Caenorhabditis elegans: one gene and its partners. The protein of the gene in region 2 purifies or fractionates together with the protein of the main gene of each other region. This does not show direct contact. Each region holds a gene or a part of one and is shown on either strand. Other genes may lie near its edges.

Evidence for each region.
Region 1: the proteins of efl-1 (region 2) and lin-54 purify together in Caenorhabditis elegans (affinity purification with western blotting, with the first as the bait; one study listed by BioGRID). This does not show direct contact.
Region 3: the proteins of efl-1 (region 2) and dpl-1 purify together in Caenorhabditis elegans (affinity purification with western blotting; 2 studies listed by BioGRID). This does not show direct contact.

Annotation. Positions count from the first base shown.
Region 1 is NC_003282.8:13,239,177-13,243,930, reverse strand, and holds lin-54 (Protein lin-54), read right to left. Parts: upstream 2,881-4,754; 5' UTR 2,864-2,880; coding exon 2,738-2,863; intron 2,696-2,737; coding exon 2,540-2,695; intron 2,489-2,539; coding exon 2,380-2,488; intron 2,334-2,379; coding exon 2,228-2,333; intron 2,178-2,227; coding exon 1,790-2,177; intron 1,249-1,789; coding exon 1,003-1,248; intron 949-1,002; coding exon 772-948; 3' UTR 530-771; downstream 1-529. Other genes in the region: JC8.4 (CMP/dCMP-type deaminase domain-containing protein), read right to left, coding at 1-256; rpl-12 (Large ribosomal subunit protein uL11), read left to right, coding at 3,371-3,407, 3,533-3,787, 3,998-4,105, 4,155-4,252; tag-115 (SAC3/GANP/THP3 conserved domain-containing protein), read left to right, coding at 4,519-4,754. UniProt on the Caenorhabditis elegans protein: Synthetic multivulva class B (synMuvB) protein. SynMuvB proteins are required to repress the induction of vulval development by Ras signaling and probably act by forming the multiprotein DRM complex that repress transcription.
Region 2 is NC_003283.11:16,959,647-16,967,609, forward strand, and holds the start of efl-1 (E2F/DP family winged-helix DNA-binding domain-containing protein), read right to left. Parts: upstream 6,030-7,963; 5' UTR 6,028-6,029; coding exon 5,880-6,027; intron 5,834-5,879; coding exon 5,703-5,833; intron 5,656-5,702; coding exon 5,546-5,655; intron 4,888-5,545; coding exon 4,737-4,887; intron 3,949-4,736; coding exon 3,805-3,948; intron 752-3,804; coding exon 517-751; intron 1-516. Other genes in the region: fbxa-90 (F-box domain-containing protein), read left to right, coding at 7,268-7,338, 7,386-7,963.
Region 3 is NC_003280.10:9,168,332-9,173,094, forward strand, and holds dpl-1 (Transcription factor dpl-1), read left to right. Parts: upstream 1-1,578; 5' UTR 1,579-1,625; coding exon 1,626-1,634; intron 1,635-1,680; coding exon 1,681-2,016; intron 2,017-2,064; coding exon 2,065-2,330; intron 2,331-2,373; coding exon 2,374-2,442; intron 2,443-2,491; coding exon 2,492-2,589; intron 2,590-2,632; coding exon 2,633-2,746; intron 2,747-2,793; coding exon 2,794-2,988; intron 2,989-3,032; coding exon 3,033-3,217; intron 3,218-3,263; coding exon 3,264-3,425; intron 3,426-3,473; coding exon 3,474-3,732; intron 3,733-3,776; coding exon 3,777-3,880; 3' UTR 3,881-4,234; downstream 4,235-4,763. Other genes in the region: T23G7.2 (Calcineurin-like phosphoesterase domain-containing protein), read right to left, coding at 1-116, 172-291, 338-622, 675-763, 814-918, 969-1,061, 4,250-4,351, 4,403-4,468 and 1 more. UniProt on the Caenorhabditis elegans protein: Synthetic multivulva class B (synMuvB) protein. SynMuvB proteins are required to repress the induction of vulval development by Ras signaling and probably act by forming the multiprotein DRM complex that represses transcription.

The DNA of each region.
Region 1 (4,754 bases), on a different chromosome or scaffold from region 2:
AGAGCGTGGATTTTTTGAGCAGATCCTCGCAGCCCGTTCCGTGCTCTTTCCACATTTCAGTGACTGCTACCATCTCAGCATGCCTTGTCGGATCACCGGTCTCGTTCACACGATTCCGACCTCTTCCAATTTCTGTTCCATTGACCACAAATACACATCCAACTGGAACTTCATCTTCATCTAAAGCTTCTTGAGCCAATTCGAAGGCTTTTTCCAGAAATGCAGTGTCCTCGGCGCTCAGCTCGTTTTCTGACATTTCTAATAAATTTTCTAGGTTTTAAAGGTGTACTAATTCGCATTTTAATTATTTTTTGCACAATAAAAATTAATTTTAATTTTAATCGCAGACCAGCGATGCATATTGTGCGCCGAAACACTCCTGAATAGCTTTGTTTAAAATAGGAGCGTGTTTCGGCGCACAATACGCAATTAAAATTTAATTTAAACTTCTGAATCAAAAAATCAAACATTTCTCGAAATAATTACTTTGCTGGGAACAAATGTGCAACTATGCTGCCAAATAATAAAAAAAAGACACAAAACTTCATAAATATAACACAATAATTTCTAAAATTGAAGAGACGCAGGTGAGTTAGTAAAAATGAAACAAATTTTTCTGATCATTTTTTATTTGACAACTTTGAAAGAAGGCAACTTGTGAATCTGTAAAAGCATTGAGAGGAGGGGAGGAAGGCAAAGAATGTGTGAGAGGTGAGATCATAAAAGATCGCGCAACTGTGATAAAATTGATAATAATTTTAATGCGAATAGTTAAGAAGTACTAGTAGATGGTCCTGGGATGTCATCCGTTGGAGCGGCATCAAGATCTTGTGTGAGCTCAGTTGTGTTTGTGATCATTTGTTCGAGACAGCGGCCGAATTCACGAAGGACAAGCTTCTCCATATTGATGAGTTTTTCGTCTTCGGTTTGCACTTTTTCGTAGTTTAACTGCAAAGAAAAAAAATTAAATTCAATAGGAAACCAATTGATTTTCCAACTAACAGCTTCTTCAGCTTGAGCAACCATGCACATAGTGGCTGCCTCAACGACTTCATCGGTCATATAGTACCACGGGAAGCGTCTAGGATCCATCTCGACCTTCGGTTTATGCGAAAGAAGCATATCCTCGTAGTCGTCTCCATGCTCATCGGTCACCACACTTCCCGGACCAGAATCTGGAGTCGCTGTGCTGGAAGCGTTGGTCAATGACATCAGGGCATTCGTATTGGACACGGCACCACCGGAGTTCTGAAATTAAAATTTGAATAAGAAATTAAATTTATTGCAAGAATTGCGGTATTTTGAACGTATAGAGATCCAAAATATGATTTTTTTAAATTTGAAAAAGGTGAAATTTGAGCTAAAATATTCAATTTTGGCCACTTTTCCGCGTCGAAGCGGTCGGAAATTGACATTTTTAAAATTATCATCTTTTATTGCATATTTTGGTATTTTATCTAACGTTTTTTTAAAAATTTCATCAATTAAAGTACATTTAAGGCCGAGAGGTGACCAAAAATGATCGAAATTGGTTACCGATCAGCTTTAAATGTACCTTAATCAATGAAATAACGTCAGATAAAATACCAAAATATTCAATAAAAGATGATAATTCAAAAAAAGTCAGCTTCCGACCGCTGGGACACGGAAAAGTGATCAAAATTAGCCTTTTTCGGAATTTTGAACTGCCAAACAAAACTTGTTAATTTGAGCACATTTGTTAGCCTATACGTTCGAAAAATCCAGAATCGTTACTCCATTTTTTAAACTGAATTATAGGAAATTGCACCTTGTATCTTGTCATTCTGTATGTTTCAGTATTCTGACATCCTTTGCACTTGCATCGATCGGTACACGGAACCTTTGCTTCATAACACTCACAATAGTTTTTCAGACAACCACTCTTTTTACAGTGACATCCTTTCTGATGAAGACGTTCGATGTCGGTAATACCTCCACGAGCAATACCAATTTTTGGCTTGAAAGCGTTCGGATTTCGCTCAAGTGACTGACGGATGGCTTTTGAACGCTGACTGTCGTATTCTATATTATTGTGACAATCCTTGCAATTGCAGTCACGACAGAACTCTCCATTGGCGAAACAATCACAGTAGAGCTTGAGGCATTGAGATTTCGTGCAATTGCATGGTTTCCGCTGGCCAGGTGCAAATACTTTTCTTGAAAAATAGAGGAATTAGTGAAAAGTTACAAAATTTGAGTTCTTTACTTTTTAGTTTTCAATCTAATATGACTAACGTGATCTTTCATATCGATGTAAACTTTTCGCTGTTCAGAATTTCCCATCTCCAAGCCCATTGGTTGCACTGTTCTAGCTTAAATAAAATAATTATTAGGACAAAAGATCTCTAGTTTACGAACGTAATGAAGCGGGCTGTCGATCGTACATTGAAGGTGAACCCGATAAATTGGACAAATTCCGCACAGTGTACTGAGACGATCCGGGAGTGCTGGGCCCAGGCTGAAAAAGCTTCCAAAGAGGTTAGTCAATTCGTAAAAAATCGAAAATTTTTAAAATTACTTTTCGCTGAACTGGTCTCGGAGGGGGGACGTAGACGCGATGCGATGATGTATCAATTGGTTCGTCTTTGACCAATCCCTGATTAACTTCCATTGATCGATTATGCTGTTGAATCATACTCGAGGTTCCCGGACGATTTTGCTGCGCCTGTAAGTTCTGAGAAAAGTTTATTTTTATTTCGAATTGAAAACAAATTACTGGATTATGAGGCACAAGCTGTCCATTAACTTCGATAAATTCGGCACCTTCTTCATAATTATCGTATATCTCCGATTCGTCGTAATAATCATCGTCGTCTTGATAAACGATTTCTCCTTGATTCATTGTCAACACTGAAAATACTGAAAAATAACTAATCAGGAAAACAATGTTTTAGCATTTGGAAAGAGATTAAACGAAAAGAAATTAAGTTATCTTGCCAGAAAATTCCCAACAAAAAAAAAAGAACATCGTTTTGAGGATGAAATACAACTTATTTACGTTCCTTTTTGAACCAAAATTTCATTTTTCGCCGTCTAAATACTTTCAAAAATGTTAAATTAGTAACTTATTTCTTGAAAATCAATAATTCAATAAGATTTAATATTAATAAATTTAAAAAACACCCAAAAAAAGGATTAAAAAATTGTTTCGCGCGCCGAAATTTGATTAAACAAAAATAATGCAAGTGCGCTCCACAGTTAATGTTGTTTGAAAATTGACATCGACAATTCGCTGCGTAGCGACGCAACAACCATTGTGATACGGAGTCAATTCGCCGGCGCCAAGTCCTCGCGACGAATTTTTTCTCACTTTTGTCACCGCCGGTATCCCTGGTAGACGTCACTCATCATGCCACCAAAGTTCGACCCAACTGAGATTAAGATCGGTAAGTTGCTCATTTTTGTGCACATTTAATTAGGTATTTGACGTATTATGCGTGATTTTCAATTTGTCAAAGATTTCATCATCGTGATTTTTGAAAAACTCTTTTGCATCATTTTCACTTTTCAGTGTACCTCCGTTGCGTCGGAGGAGAAGTCGGAGCCACCTCCGCTCTTGCCCCAAAGGTCGGACCACTTGGATTGTCTCCAAAGAAGATCGGAGAAGACATCGCCAAGGCCACCCAAGACTGGAAGGGTCTTAAGGTCACCTGCAAATTGACCATCCAGAACCGTGTTGCCAAGATCGACGTTGTCCCATCTGCTGCTTCCCTCATCGTCAAGGAGCTCAAGGAGCCACCACGTGACCGCAAGAAGGTCAAGAACGGTACGCATTTAATGCGTTGGGTCGGGAGTCGATATGCTCTCATCCCCTGGTCTCTTACTTCATAAGTTTGTAAAAGTTTGTGACTTAAAGACTAGTAACCTAAGTGATTTTCATGCTCCGTGAGTTTGATTTTTCCTGGGTTTGGTGTTGTCTCGTCCCAACGGGTTGTTTAATCAATCTAGTTTAACGTTTTGCACGTTTCCATTTCAGTGAAGCACAATGGAGACCTCACTGTTGACACCATCATCAAGATCGCCAGAATCATGAGACCAAGATCGATGGCCAAGAAACTTGAAGGAACCGTCAAGGAGATCCTTGGTAATATTTCGAAAACGATAAACTGTTTCTAAATATTGTATTTTTTCAGGAACAGCCCAATCCGTTGGATGCACAATTGATGGACAACACCCACACGACATCATCGAGTCGATCGCCAATGGAGAGATCGAGATCCCAGCTCAATGATCTGTCACTTGTTTTTGTTGTTCCAATAAATTCTTGTTACTATCTGCGTGTATTTTGATAAATATCTCAATAAATCATGCAAGACGTCTAATTTAGAATTTGTATCGAAAGACACTGGTGTTGGGATTCATTTGTTATCTATTTCTGGTAAAAGAACTCGTGCTTCGTCGCTTTTCGAAATCGATTTTTGCGTGGAGAGAAACTGCGCTCTGATGAATTTTTTCTTCAGTTTATTTTATTTTAAAATATTTTCGCTTCATTCAGAAATGGCCTCGTGTGAATCAATGTGCCCAGTCGCTGAAATAAATTTTCGAAGCCGGAATCATCTGATAGATCAATTAGAAGCTACTGCATCGACTAGTTCAGGACCCCGGTCAAAATACGTTGCAGATCCGACGAAAATGGTCAAAGAGTACTCACGATCAGCTGCTGACACCCATAAATACAACAAACCGGAACTATTAAGGCCTTTTCCCGTTCTACAACACACAATAGACTATCT
Region 2 (7,963 bases):
GAAAAATAAAATTAAAAAGAAGAGGTAATTTTCCCAAATTTTCCCAGTTTTTCTGTAATTTTTAAAAGAATTTTATGTAATTCAGTTTATGCTTTTTTTTGTGAAAATTTTCTCAAATTTTTTGGCGGATTTCTAGGTTTTCCGGTTTTTTTTTTCAATTTTTTTTGTTAAAAAACAGTTTTGATGTTTTTTTCGCTTAAATTTCAAATTTTCATGTGAAAAAATCTGAGAATTATTTTTCGATTCGAAAAACTCTAGAAAACGGTGCAGAAAACAAAAGGAAAATGTTTTTTATCAGAAAAAGTAAATTTTTTGGATTTTTTAGCTTCGAAAAAACGTCCATAAAAGTCCAGTTTTTTTGGTGTTTTCTTGGAAAAAATGATGATTTTTCCAATTTTTTTTTTCAAAATTCTTCATTTTTAAGCTATTTTTTAGCTACTTTCAGTGAAAAAAATCCATTTTTTCTCAAAATTCTGCTTTAAAAAATAAGCAAAATTTCCAGCAATTCAGCAGCACCTTTCTGCTCAAAACCAAACATTTCATCATCATTGATCGTCCGCCGATTCCGATATCTTGAATCATCCATCATTTCATCTGGAGCATCAGCGTCAACGTGCTCTTCACCAGGCCGTTTTGCTCGTTCTCTCTGTACAAAATCATGTAGCTCATGGTTGGAAACGATGGCGGCTCGGAGGGGTCCAGAGGGATCTTTCAGGTAACACCAAGATGGTCCACCGTGTATCTCGACTTGCTGCAATTTTTTTTATTGGAAAAAATGGGGAAAAAATAAAAATTGAAAATTTTCGATTTTTTGTTGAAAAAAAAAATTTTTTCCGGAATTTTCTAAAATTTATCAAAAATTTTATAAACAATTTTTTTAAAATTTTTATTCTGATTTTTTTTTAATTGTCTTGTTTTTTAGAGCCAAATAGAGCGAAAATTGCGTTTTTTTTTTTGAAAATCTTTTTCAGTTTTTTCAGGAATTTTCTGAAATTTATCGAAAAAAAATTCTGTGAATTTTAAAATCAATTAAAAAAAATTTTTTTTCTGATTTTTAACAAAATATTTTGAAAAAAAACTATTTTTTTTGTATTTTACGACAATTTTATGAAAATCGTCAAATTTCCATTAAAAAACCGCCAAATTGTGCGAAATTTACAAAAAAATTCTGCTTTTGCTGAATTTAAGAAACAAGTGTAATTTTTTCAAAATCTTTTAGAACAAATAATTTGTAAATTTTTAGAATTTATTTTTCGTCGTTTTTCAGCCAAAAATTTATTTTTTAAATACTTTTTTACAAATTTGCATACAAAAAAAGCGAAAACTGAGAAAAAAAAAACACAAAAATTTTTTGTGTAGATTTACGCAGCTTGTGTAGTCCCCGAAGAGAAGTTTTTAGTTTTTTTGGCAGAAATTTCGGTTTTTGGACAGTTTTCTAGGTTTTTATGCATTTCACATAGAAATAATGCTTTTTTTCGATCAAAAATCGACTTTCTGCAATTTTTTTAAAATTTCATTGGAAAAAATGGGGGAAAATAAAAATTGAAAATTTTTTTTTGAAAAAAAAGAAGATTTTTCCGGAATTTTCTAAAATTTATCAAAAATTTTATAAACAATTTTTTTAAAAATTTTTATTCTGATATTTTTTAATTTGTCTTGTTTTTTAGAGCCAAATAGAGCGAAAATTGCGTTTTTTTTTGAAAATCTTTTTCAGTTTTTTCAGGAATTTTTTGAAATTTATCAAAAAAAATTCTATGAATTTTTTAATAATTTTTGTTCGGATTTTTTACAAAATTTTGTGTTTTTAACAAAATATTTTGAAAAAAAGTCTATTTTTTTGTATTTTACGACAGTTTTACGAAAATCGTCAAATTTACAACAAAAAAAAAATGAAAACTCGCCAAATTTTGGGAAATTTACAAAAAAATTCTGCTTTTTTTTTGGAAAAAAAGAGCATTTTTTTCCTTTTTTTTTTTTCTAAAAATTGAAAATGTTTCTTCTTTTTTTTACGTTTTTATTTAATTTTTTCGTTTTATCAATTTTTTATCCAAAAAAAAAATTATTTGTGTAGATTTACGCAGCTCGTGTACTCCCCGAGGAGAGGCTTTTACACTTTTTCAGCAGAAAATCAAATTTTTTGAAGAATGTTCGTTATTTTTGCTAAAAATCAGGGAAATTTAAGAAACAAGTGTGATTTAAAAAAAATTTTTTAGAACAAATGATTTGTAAATTGTTTAAAATTATTTTTCGTCGTTCTTCAGCCAAAAAAAAATTTTTGTTGATATTTTTTACAAATTTGCATACAAAAAAAAAAGCGAAAATTGAGAAAAAAAACAGGAAAATATTGTGTAGATTTACGCAGCTCGTAGTCCCCGAGGACAAGCTTTTACACTTTTTTGACAGAAGATTCAGTTTTTGGGCAGTCTTCTATTACGGGAACAATATATCATGAGAATGCGTACTTGGTGCATTTTATTTGACGCGCGATATCTCTTAGCGAAAACTACAGTAAGAACTCAAATAACAATAGATATTTAAGCATTTACTGTATGTAGTTTTCGCTAAGAGATATCGCGCGTCAAATAAAATGCACCAAGTACGCATTCTCATGATTTATTGTTCCCGTAATAGGTTTTTATGCATTTCACATAGAAATAATGCTTTTTTTCGATCAAAAATCGACTTGCTGCAATTTTAATTTCATTGGAAAAAATGGGGGAAAATAAAAATTGAAAATGTTCGATTTTTTTTTTGAAAAAAAAGAAGATTTTTCCGAAATTTTCTAAAATTTATCAAAAATTTTATAAACAATTTTTTTAAAATTTTTATTCTGATTTTTGTTTAATTGTCTTGTTTTTTAGAGCCAAATAGAGCGAAAATTGCGTTTTTTTTTTTGAAAATCTTTTTCAGTTTTTTCAGGAATTTTCTGAAATTTATCGAAAAAAATTCTGTGAATTTTAAAATCAATTAAAAAAAATTTTTTTTCTGATTTTTAACAAAATATTTCGAAAAAAAGTCTATTTTTTTGTATTTTACGACAGTTTTACGAAAATCGTCAAATTTACAACAAAAAAAAAATGAAAACTCGCCAAATTTTGGGAAATTTACAAAAAAAAATTCTGCTTTTTTTTGGAAAAAGGAGCTTTTTTTTTCTTTTTTTTTTCTAAAAATTGAAAAAGTTTCTTCTTTTTTTTTAACATTTTTATTTAATTTTTTCGTTTTATCAATTTTTAGCTGAAAAAAATTATTTGTGTAGATTTACGCAGCCCGTGTACTCCCCGAGGGGAGGCTTTTACACTTTTTTTAGCAGAAAATCAAATTTTTTGAAGAATTTTCGTTATTTTTGCTAAAAATCAGGGAAATTTAAGAATTTTTAAAAAATTTTTAGAACAAATAATTTGTATTTAAATATTGTTTAAAATTATGTTTCACCGTTTTTCAGCCAAAAATTTATTTTTTTGATATTTTTTTTACAAATTTGCATACAAAAAACACAGAAAAATATTGCGTAGATTTACGCAGCTCGTGTACTCCACGAGGAGAAGTTTTTACACTTTTTTGACAGAAATTTCGGTTTTTGGACAGTCTTCTAGTTTTTTATGTATTTTAAATTAAAAAATTCATTTTTCTCATCGAAAATTCTTAAAAAGAATTAATTTTGAGCAAAAATCAGCGTTTTTTTCAGTTAAAATCGGGTTTTGTACCCGTTTTTTCCAAGAAAAATATGAATTTTCCACAATTTTCCAGGTTTTTCCATTAAATTTTCATTGAAAATTCCAATTTTCGCGTCATTTTCTTCTCTACCTCCGGATCACTGAGCCGAACTTGTGTGCCGACTCTCGTTTGAATTCCAATCGTAAGATCTGAGCCTTGAATCTCGGCGAGCTGTGAACGGAGCACATAGCTGAGCTTGTTGTTCTCCACGGATTCTGTCATGTTTCGGAGGCTCTGAAATTTGAGAATTTCAGCGGTTTTGGCTTAAAACTGTCGAAAAATTGACCAAAAATTTCAAAAAAAAATTGTGGAAAATTTGGCTCAGATTGCCTGAAATTTCCTATAAATTTTCAGAAAAATTGTCCGCAATTTTAATGAATTTTTGACCATTTTTCAGCGAATTTTCCAGAAGTTTTGACTGAATTTTTAAGAAATTTTCTGCCAAATTTCAGCAGTTTTGGACCAATTTCAAGCAATTTTTAGCCGAAATTTCCAGAATTTATTTTACAAAATTTTCATCATTTTGGCACCATTTTTATCTTGATTTTCTCGAAATTTCATCCATATTTTTTTCAGAAAATTGGAGGAAATTTTGGCAAAATTTCAGCAGTTTTCAACGATTTTCAGACTAATTTTTCAGGAAGTTAAGTCAAATTTTCAGCTTTTTTCAGCGATTTTCAGCCCCATTATTTCTAAATTTCGGCTCAATTTTTAATGATGTTCAGCCATATTTTTCCAGAATTTTCGACTGAATTTTTCTATTTTTTTCAGGACTTTTTGGTTAAATTTTTTCCAATTTCCAGCCTTATTTCCAGTGATTTTTGCTCAATTTTCTATCAAAATTAGCCAGTTTTTGCTCAATTTTGATCAAATTTTTAGCGACTTTCAGCAAATAATTCTCAATTTTCGGCTGAATTTTTCTGAAATTTTTGGTCATTTTTCAGCCAATTTTTGCGTAAATTTGGCTCAATTTTCATCGATTTTCAGCAAATTTTTCATCAAATTTTCTGGAAATTCGCTACCTGCTGAAGCCATCTTTGACGTTGCTCAATGAGCTCTTCTTCCTTATTTAATTGCTCAATTTCAGCTTTTAATTGTTCCATTCGATCTTCTTCTTCTGTTGTGGCCGATTGTCGTTTCCCTTCCTTCACGTTTAGCATAAAATCACCGCCTCTGAAAACAAAAAATTGAGTTTTCCGGGGAAAAATGTGCAAAAAAGCGGTTTTTGAGCCGGAAAATAGAGATTTTCACCGAAATTGGAGCGAAATTGAGGCTATTATAGAAAAATTGGCTTTGAAAATGTAATTTTGTGTTAAAAATGACCTTTTCTTGTGTTTTCTGGCTGAAAACCCGATTTTCCACGTAAAAATCTGAAATTTTCAGCAATTTTCATGTTTTTAAGCTGAAAAATAAGGATTTTGCCACAAAATTGAGCTTTGAATTGAAAATTTAACTTTAAAAAGTGATTTTGTGTCAAAAATGAAATTTTCATATGAAAATTCGATTTGTTTCGGTGAAAAATCTCAAAAATTAGTGTTTTAGAAATCGAATTTATCGATTTTTACAGGAAATAGGAGCTATATTCCAAAAAATGTGATTTTCATCCATTTTGCCGGAAAGCGCCATTTTTTGGCTGAAAATGCGATTTTTCACGTAAAAATCTGAAATTTTCCGAAATTTCTTGCATTTTAAGCTTTTTGAGCTGAAAAATCAATATTTTGACACAAAATTGATTTTTTTTCTAAACATGTCATTTTTCTTGTTAAAATACGATTTTCCGCCGATTCATTGAAAAACGTCATTTTTCCTGCTGAAAATTCGACTTTCTTACTTCCACTGTATCATATTCTTGCTTCTTTTCTCAATAAGACCAATTCCTTCGAGAACATTCGTAATATCGTAGATTCGTCGCTTTTGCCGGACATTGAGCGCCTCGGCGGCCTAAAAAATACGAAAATTGCGAAATTCACGATTTTTTTCAAAAATACAGTGTTCAAATCGCATCTTCCATACGGTGAGTACTGAATCATTCGAATAAATCGTTTCGCCAACAATCCCAACGATTTATCGGCTCGTGTGCCCATTTGTGGTTGATCCAGGTCCTCATCCTCGTCGAAATCTGGAAATTTCGGGGTTTTCGGCTTAAAATTCGACAAATATTGTACCAAAATCAAAGTCAAGCTCATTGTCGAGCCCGAGCATCAAATTGTTCTTTATCGAGCTCTGTTTGGTCATTTCCAGCGCTTTTTGAAGCTCCATGTCAGATAATTGGCGGAAGCCGGGGTCTTCCATGTCGTTGTACGAGTCTTCCATGGCTGAAATGCGGAATTTTAGTTGAAAAATCCGATTTTTTGGTTAAAAATGAGCTGAAAAACGAGAAAAATCAAGAAAAAACGAGAAAAACCAAGAGAAATCAATTTGAATTCCCCTCCAAAATGCGAGAAATGATGAGGTTTCGTCACGGATTAGAGACAATGGGAAAGGTGGAGACGCAGACGAGAAAGGTGCAGTGGAGCGCGCTTGCACTCAAATTTCCGCGGGAAAAAGTTTCGCTTGAATGAGAAGATAAAAATGAAAGAAGTACGTGGTTTTTTGAATGTATAATAAGGGGAAATTTGAATTTGAAGACAAAAAAAGTTAGAACCCAAAAAAATTGGGCCCCGTTAGGTATTTGGCGGCAAAACCGTAAATTCAGATAAAATGGGGTTATTCAAGTAGTGTCGTGAAATTAACCATCACTTTTTTTTAGCCATCACTTTTTTGTTTTTGTGGGCTCAAATCAGTTTTAACAAAAATTGAATTTGTAAAATTTCGCCTCCTTTGGTATTTTCACGTGGTGTCAGGCTGTCCCATGCCGGTTTGATCTACAAAAAGATTGTGACGTCACCACGTTATTAAAGGTGGAGTAGCGTCAGTGGGGAAAGTGTTAAAAACTACTCCAATAGTGTAAAAAAGATCAAATATCATAATAAAACTTCAAAAAAAAATTTTTGGCAATTTACCAAAATTTTGAATACGAGCTTTTGAGGAAATTTAAAGAAATGTCGCATGTTTCGACCCCTACAATGTTTTAATACGAATACACATGAACTGTTTGAAAAATGGCAAAAATAATTGAAAATCTTCGATATTACCGTTTTGCCATCGCCAAATACATAAGAAGGTCTAACTAATAGTTAGGCTTAGGCTCAAAAATTTGGCCTAAAATTAGTCTCAGGCTTAGCCGCAGGTCTTAGCTTTCTGTTTAAAATTTCGATGACTGCTACGTAAATTTCGTATGCGACTCCTGAAATTTCTGGAAGTAAGACAGTGAAAAGCCTGTCTGAATACACATGGTTTCAAACTAAGACTACATTTTATTTAAAGCCAAGGGTTCAAGCTGTGCCTACATTTTACAGGTTCAAGTTGGCGGCCAGTTCTGAAACACCTTCGGTGTCTGATTCTCATACTCTCTAGTCAGCTGGTGCGCCTGCGTCTCTGCGCTGTCCAACTAGGCCACTAGTCACAGAGAACTGTGTTGAAATCACTTCATTTTTTCTTCAAATTTCTCAAAATGTCATCACTCTCCGACTTGCCAATCGAACTTATTGAACAAATTTTGAATAATCTGGAAGCTTTGGAAAGGTGAGTTTTCCTTGTTTTTTTAAAGAAAAAAAGCATTGAAAATTCAGGCTAATCGCTCGAAAAGTGTCCTACAGCTTCCGAGCAATAATCGATAACCTCGGTCCAAATCTGAAGACGGTTCATGTAAATTTTCATGAAAAATTTTCAAGACTAATTCTCGATGAGAACTACGGCGGGGTTACCTATGAGCAAGTTGATGGAGCCTGCCAAGTTGAATATAAGAACAGTGGCCGAGTACATGCTGGAAGGAACCACGTTGAAATGTTGATGGAGGACTTGAAGAGCTTGGTGAAGTACCCTGAAGTTGATGAATTTCTGATACAGCTGGCTACCAACAATTTTAATGAAAGAAAAATCATTTTAAAGGCAATTGAGTCATTTTTCGAATCCTTAAACTTCAAGTTAAAAGCGAAAAAAGTGATTATCGATGACTTCACCGCCCGTGAAGTTTCTGAAATACTTCAGAAGTTCGAACCTGAAATTCTCGAAGAAATAACTCTCCAAGCTCAATTCCTAAAGTACTATGAGCCGATAAATGGCGTTGTGGAACTCGAGCAATGGAAGAAAGCTAAAATTCTGAACAACCGGTCCAAGTTTCTGATCCCTATTAAGCATATTGTAAATT
Region 3 (4,763 bases), on a different chromosome or scaffold from region 2:
TTGATGGACATCGATGGATGGCTTTTGGTAGATCCATTTTAGTGTTCAAGATTCCAGATTTCGGACTTGAAATATCGTTTACTCCAGCCAAACAGACTCCTTTCAGCATTGTACTTCTGAAAAATATCACTGTTACTTCCAAGAAAAACTCAAAAACTTTGTAAAACTTACTCGTTTTCAAGAACATTAATACGGCCATTTTTGTAGAATCTTATCCATTCCTGAACGTCTCCATAATAATATTCATGATTGCCAGTTACGAAATAAGTAGGTGCGTGAGCAGGGAGTTGACTGAAAACAAAAATTGAAATTTTGTGAATCAAACTAATTCGCCTACAGAATTGGTCGAACTCTATCCTCGATTTCCGCAACAGGAGCATCTACCATATCTCCAACAATCAGAATAGCATCAACTGGATTTTCAAGCACTTTTTCGACAACTTGATTGATTTGTTCCGAATAAACACTTGCACCAGCGTGCAAATCAGAGATCACTGCCAATTTTAATCGATTTCCATCAGCAGTGAAGTTTTTTATTTTGATGGTCTTTTCTTTGACAACAATCCAATCGCGTGATATAAACATACTGACTGACAGAAGCAAGGTGATTATCATTGTGAATCTGAAAATAACATTTTTAATGATAAGTTCCGAAATGAGATGTTTTTTGTTACTTTATTTGAGATCTTCTTTTCCACATGAGATCGTTAAAATAAGGAACCTTTCCTATTATTTCCAAAATCGAAGCGGTGTAATGGAACATCTGAGAAAATTTTTTTAAAATAATTTAAATATTATTGAAATTAATATTACCTTCATTTTTCCAGCATAGAAATTAACAATCCCAAATCCACATACGAATGCAATCATGTTAGTCCATATTCCCGCGCAGATTGAGGTGAGATCGAAGAGAAGCCACTGAAATGCAAGAGACTCTTTTAACAGCAACACAATTTCTAAAAACAAACCTGGAGAAATGCTGGGGCATAATACATAAAATAAATCGCTTGTCCGAGAACTAGGAAAATAATAAGGCCATCCGAGCATCGTTTCCGGATTGTCTGAAATGAGAATAGGTCAGTTTTTGGTGAGAAGAAGATTTAATCGATTTGAAGAGAAAAATAGTTATGGTCTTTGAAATCGTAGCAGGAAAACAAAATAAATTTTTATTTAAAAGCAAATTCTTGTTTTGCTAACTTTTTCCAACAAGAATATTGCAATTTGTTGAAATTTCAGTGTCGAACGAAAAAAAAAGAAAATTTTGTTCAGCAACAACACTCCGCCTTGACACCTCTCGCGTTGTTTATCGTCATTGATGGGTCTCGCAACGCACGGCGCGTCTTCAAATTTGGGTTTTTTCTGTTTTCCTCCATCTTCCGAATATTATTGATTTCTCTCACGTATTGATCAAAAATTGTTCTGGTTAACGTTTGTATTGCAGCGTTCTTAAAAACCGATAAAATTTAGATTTAGAACAGAAAAGAATCAGTTTTTTACGATGGCAACAAAATATCATTCATTATTCTTATAATTAACACTTTTCGTAGCTTTTCTCGTAATCAAAGTCATCATTTACAGATCTAAGCAATCGAAAATCTTGATTCGTCCAGGCAGGTCCTGTAGAAATGAACCCGGTTTGTAAAATAAGAAATCGATATTATATTAAACTAACATTTGCAGACAAACTACGATCCCCGTATCGGCCAACCGGCACAAAGTCGACCACAAGTATCCCTGAGTATGGGAAGACGAATTGTTCAAATGCCTACAGGTCTTCCTCGTTCATACCAAGATGAGAGTCACAATGAACCTGTGGGCTGGGATGAACCTTCGGGAGTTGGAGGATCTAGTGGAGCAGGAGGTCAACAATCTGACAAACCAACCGGACTCAGACATTTTTCCACGAAAGTTTGTGAAAAGGTGAAAGAAAAAGGATTGACGAATTACAATGAAGTGGCTGATGAACTGGTAGCAGATTACTTTCAAAATAATCTTATCAAGCAGATTGATGTTGTGGTAAGAAGTTTGTTTTTCTTCTTTTGAAAAAAAACTTTTTTTTTCTAGAAACAAGAATACGATATGAAAAATATTCGGAGGAGAGTATACGATGCGTTGAACGTTCTTTTGGCAATGAATATCATCACAAAAAGCAAGAAAGATATCAGATGGATTGGACTTCCTGCTTCAGCTTCACAAGAAATTTCGAGATTGGAAGAAGAGAAATCGCGACGGGAAGCCAGCATAAGTTCCAAAAAGCAGGCTCTCGAAGAAATGGTATTGCAAATTGTTTCTTACAAAAATTTGGTCGAACGGAATAGAAAAAATGAGCAGTACGTTTGAGTGTTAAATATTTTAGAAAAGTTAAATTTTCAGCAAAAATGGTCGCCCAGAAAACGACACTGTACTTCATCTTCCGTTTTTAATAATTAATACTGATAAAGAGTAAGTTGAAATTCCAAAATTATAATAGTCTCAAATATCTATTTTTAAGAGCAAATGTGGAATGCAGTGTATCATCAGACAAATCCGAATTTCTGTTCTCGTTCGACAAGAAGTTTGAAATTCACGATGATTTCGAAATTTTAAAAAGTAAATTTAAATGCCAAAAACCGATAAGATCCACATTTTTCAGAGTTGAACCTTGCATGCAGTTTGGAGACTACAAATCCCACAGCGGAAGAAGTCAAAACTGCGAAAAGCTTTTTGCCAACCTTACACCAGCACTATGTCGACGAAATCATTGCCAGTAAGTATTTCTTTTTAAAAATCAATCATGGAAACCACAATTTTCAGACCGTAAAAAGGTTGAAGCAGAAAAAGAGGAAAAGAGAAAACAACAACAGTTGATTGCTGATCAAATGTCTATGAACCTCTCACAAGCCCAATACGTTGAGCCGACAAGCTCTTTGGCGCAAATGTCATATTCATCGCGATTCAACAGACAGCTTCAGGAGCATTTGATAAACGATGGAAGTGAGGACAGAAGTGGTAAAAAAGTTTTTTAAAAACATTAAAAAAATTGTTTTTTCTAGCTGCTGCCGGTATAATGGAACGCGATTATGATATGGATAAGAATGTTAATCAGGGATCAGCCAGCCGAGGGCCAATGTATAATACTTATAGTCCACAAAAGATTCGAGCTCAAGTTAACACGCCTCTTCAAGTACCACCCGTTACCAAACGATATTACGTACAGAAGACACAAGGACCAATGAAGGTTTGTTCAAAATGAAGATTTTTCAGTACAACTAAAACATTTTCAGCATGATATGACTCCCGTCGTTCGAACTGTCAATCGGCCGTACTCTACTGTACCTCCAGATCGCAGGCTCTCAACTGGAGCTACTTCTGTGAATTCAGGACCTGTAAAATACTACGTGCCACAAGGACATCAACCGATGCATCAGCCAGTTGGTCAGAGATATGTAAGTTCGTTTTAAAGATTTCACAAACTGATTTTTCTTATTTTTCAGAGAGTTCGTCCACAGCAACCACAAATGAGTCATATGGGTCAGCCACATCAAGTGCAACAGAGAGTTGTCTATCCTGCTGGAAGCATTTCTGGACATCAGTTACAACCTGGACAACGAATCGTAACTCAGCGAATTGTTGCTCCAGGTGGTCCACACCCGCCGGGCACAATTGTTCGGAAAGTGATTCGTAAAATTGTTGTCAACAATCCAAAGCAATCTCCAGCTCAACAAGTTATACAAAAGAAAATGATGGAGCAAGGTAATTTAAATTTGCCTTAAATAATTTAAATAATTTAATTTCAGATATGTGCACATTTGAACGCAAAACGGAACAGCCGATGACTTCTGCGCAGGCCGCTGCTCTCATTCAACACCCTCAACCGGAGGAATACGATTATTTCCAGTAAATGTTTAATGTAACTAGTTGTTATCCCCCTTTTCCCAGTTTTTAAAGGTTCTCAAACGATTCTCATCTGCTTTTAAAATAGTTTCTATACGAGTTTCAATTTTATTTCTAGACTCCTTTAAAATCCCCTCTTCTTTAATCTTTAAAATAGTATAGTCTTCTTCGTCGATTCTATTCCGACATTTGCCAGATTAGAATTGACGACAGATTTCATAATCTACCTTTTACATTATTATTTTGTGTTCAATTTGACATTTTGAAATATGCTTCTTATATGCCCCGACTTTGACAGCATTATATGTAACTCAATGCTCCCGATTTTACCATCATTTTTTATGAAAGAATGATAGATTATAATTTTTAGTTTTACCTGCATTTTTCGGCGATCCAACGATTTCTCCTTGACAATGTCATCGTCGAACCATCTCATCAGCTGGCCGTATGCAAACACATTTAACAGAGTTAAAATGCACTTTAATTGGATTAAATTAATTAGATTTTTTAATTAGAAGAAGCAACTCACTTCAATGCGGAACACGGCAATGACTCGACGGCGGTTACCAACTAAATATCCTTCCACTGATTCAATCTGGAATATGATATCTTATAGAAAAAACTGGGCTTATGTAAATCAACTCACCCAAAATCTTGAGCAATACGTGAGCAGAATCCAGGAGATAACCGAGCCAAAAACGAGAAATCGCTCGAAACTCATCTGAAATTGAAACTGCGAAGACATACTCACTCGAGATCTTTTTTCTGATCGCTTTTCCTGTTTAGCATAGAATTGTCAATGTTCTCTCTCAGTTTATCGCCCAAACTCATCTCCTTACATCCGATTTCTATCGGGAGAAGGAGAAAATTTAGAGAATGACCATTTCAAA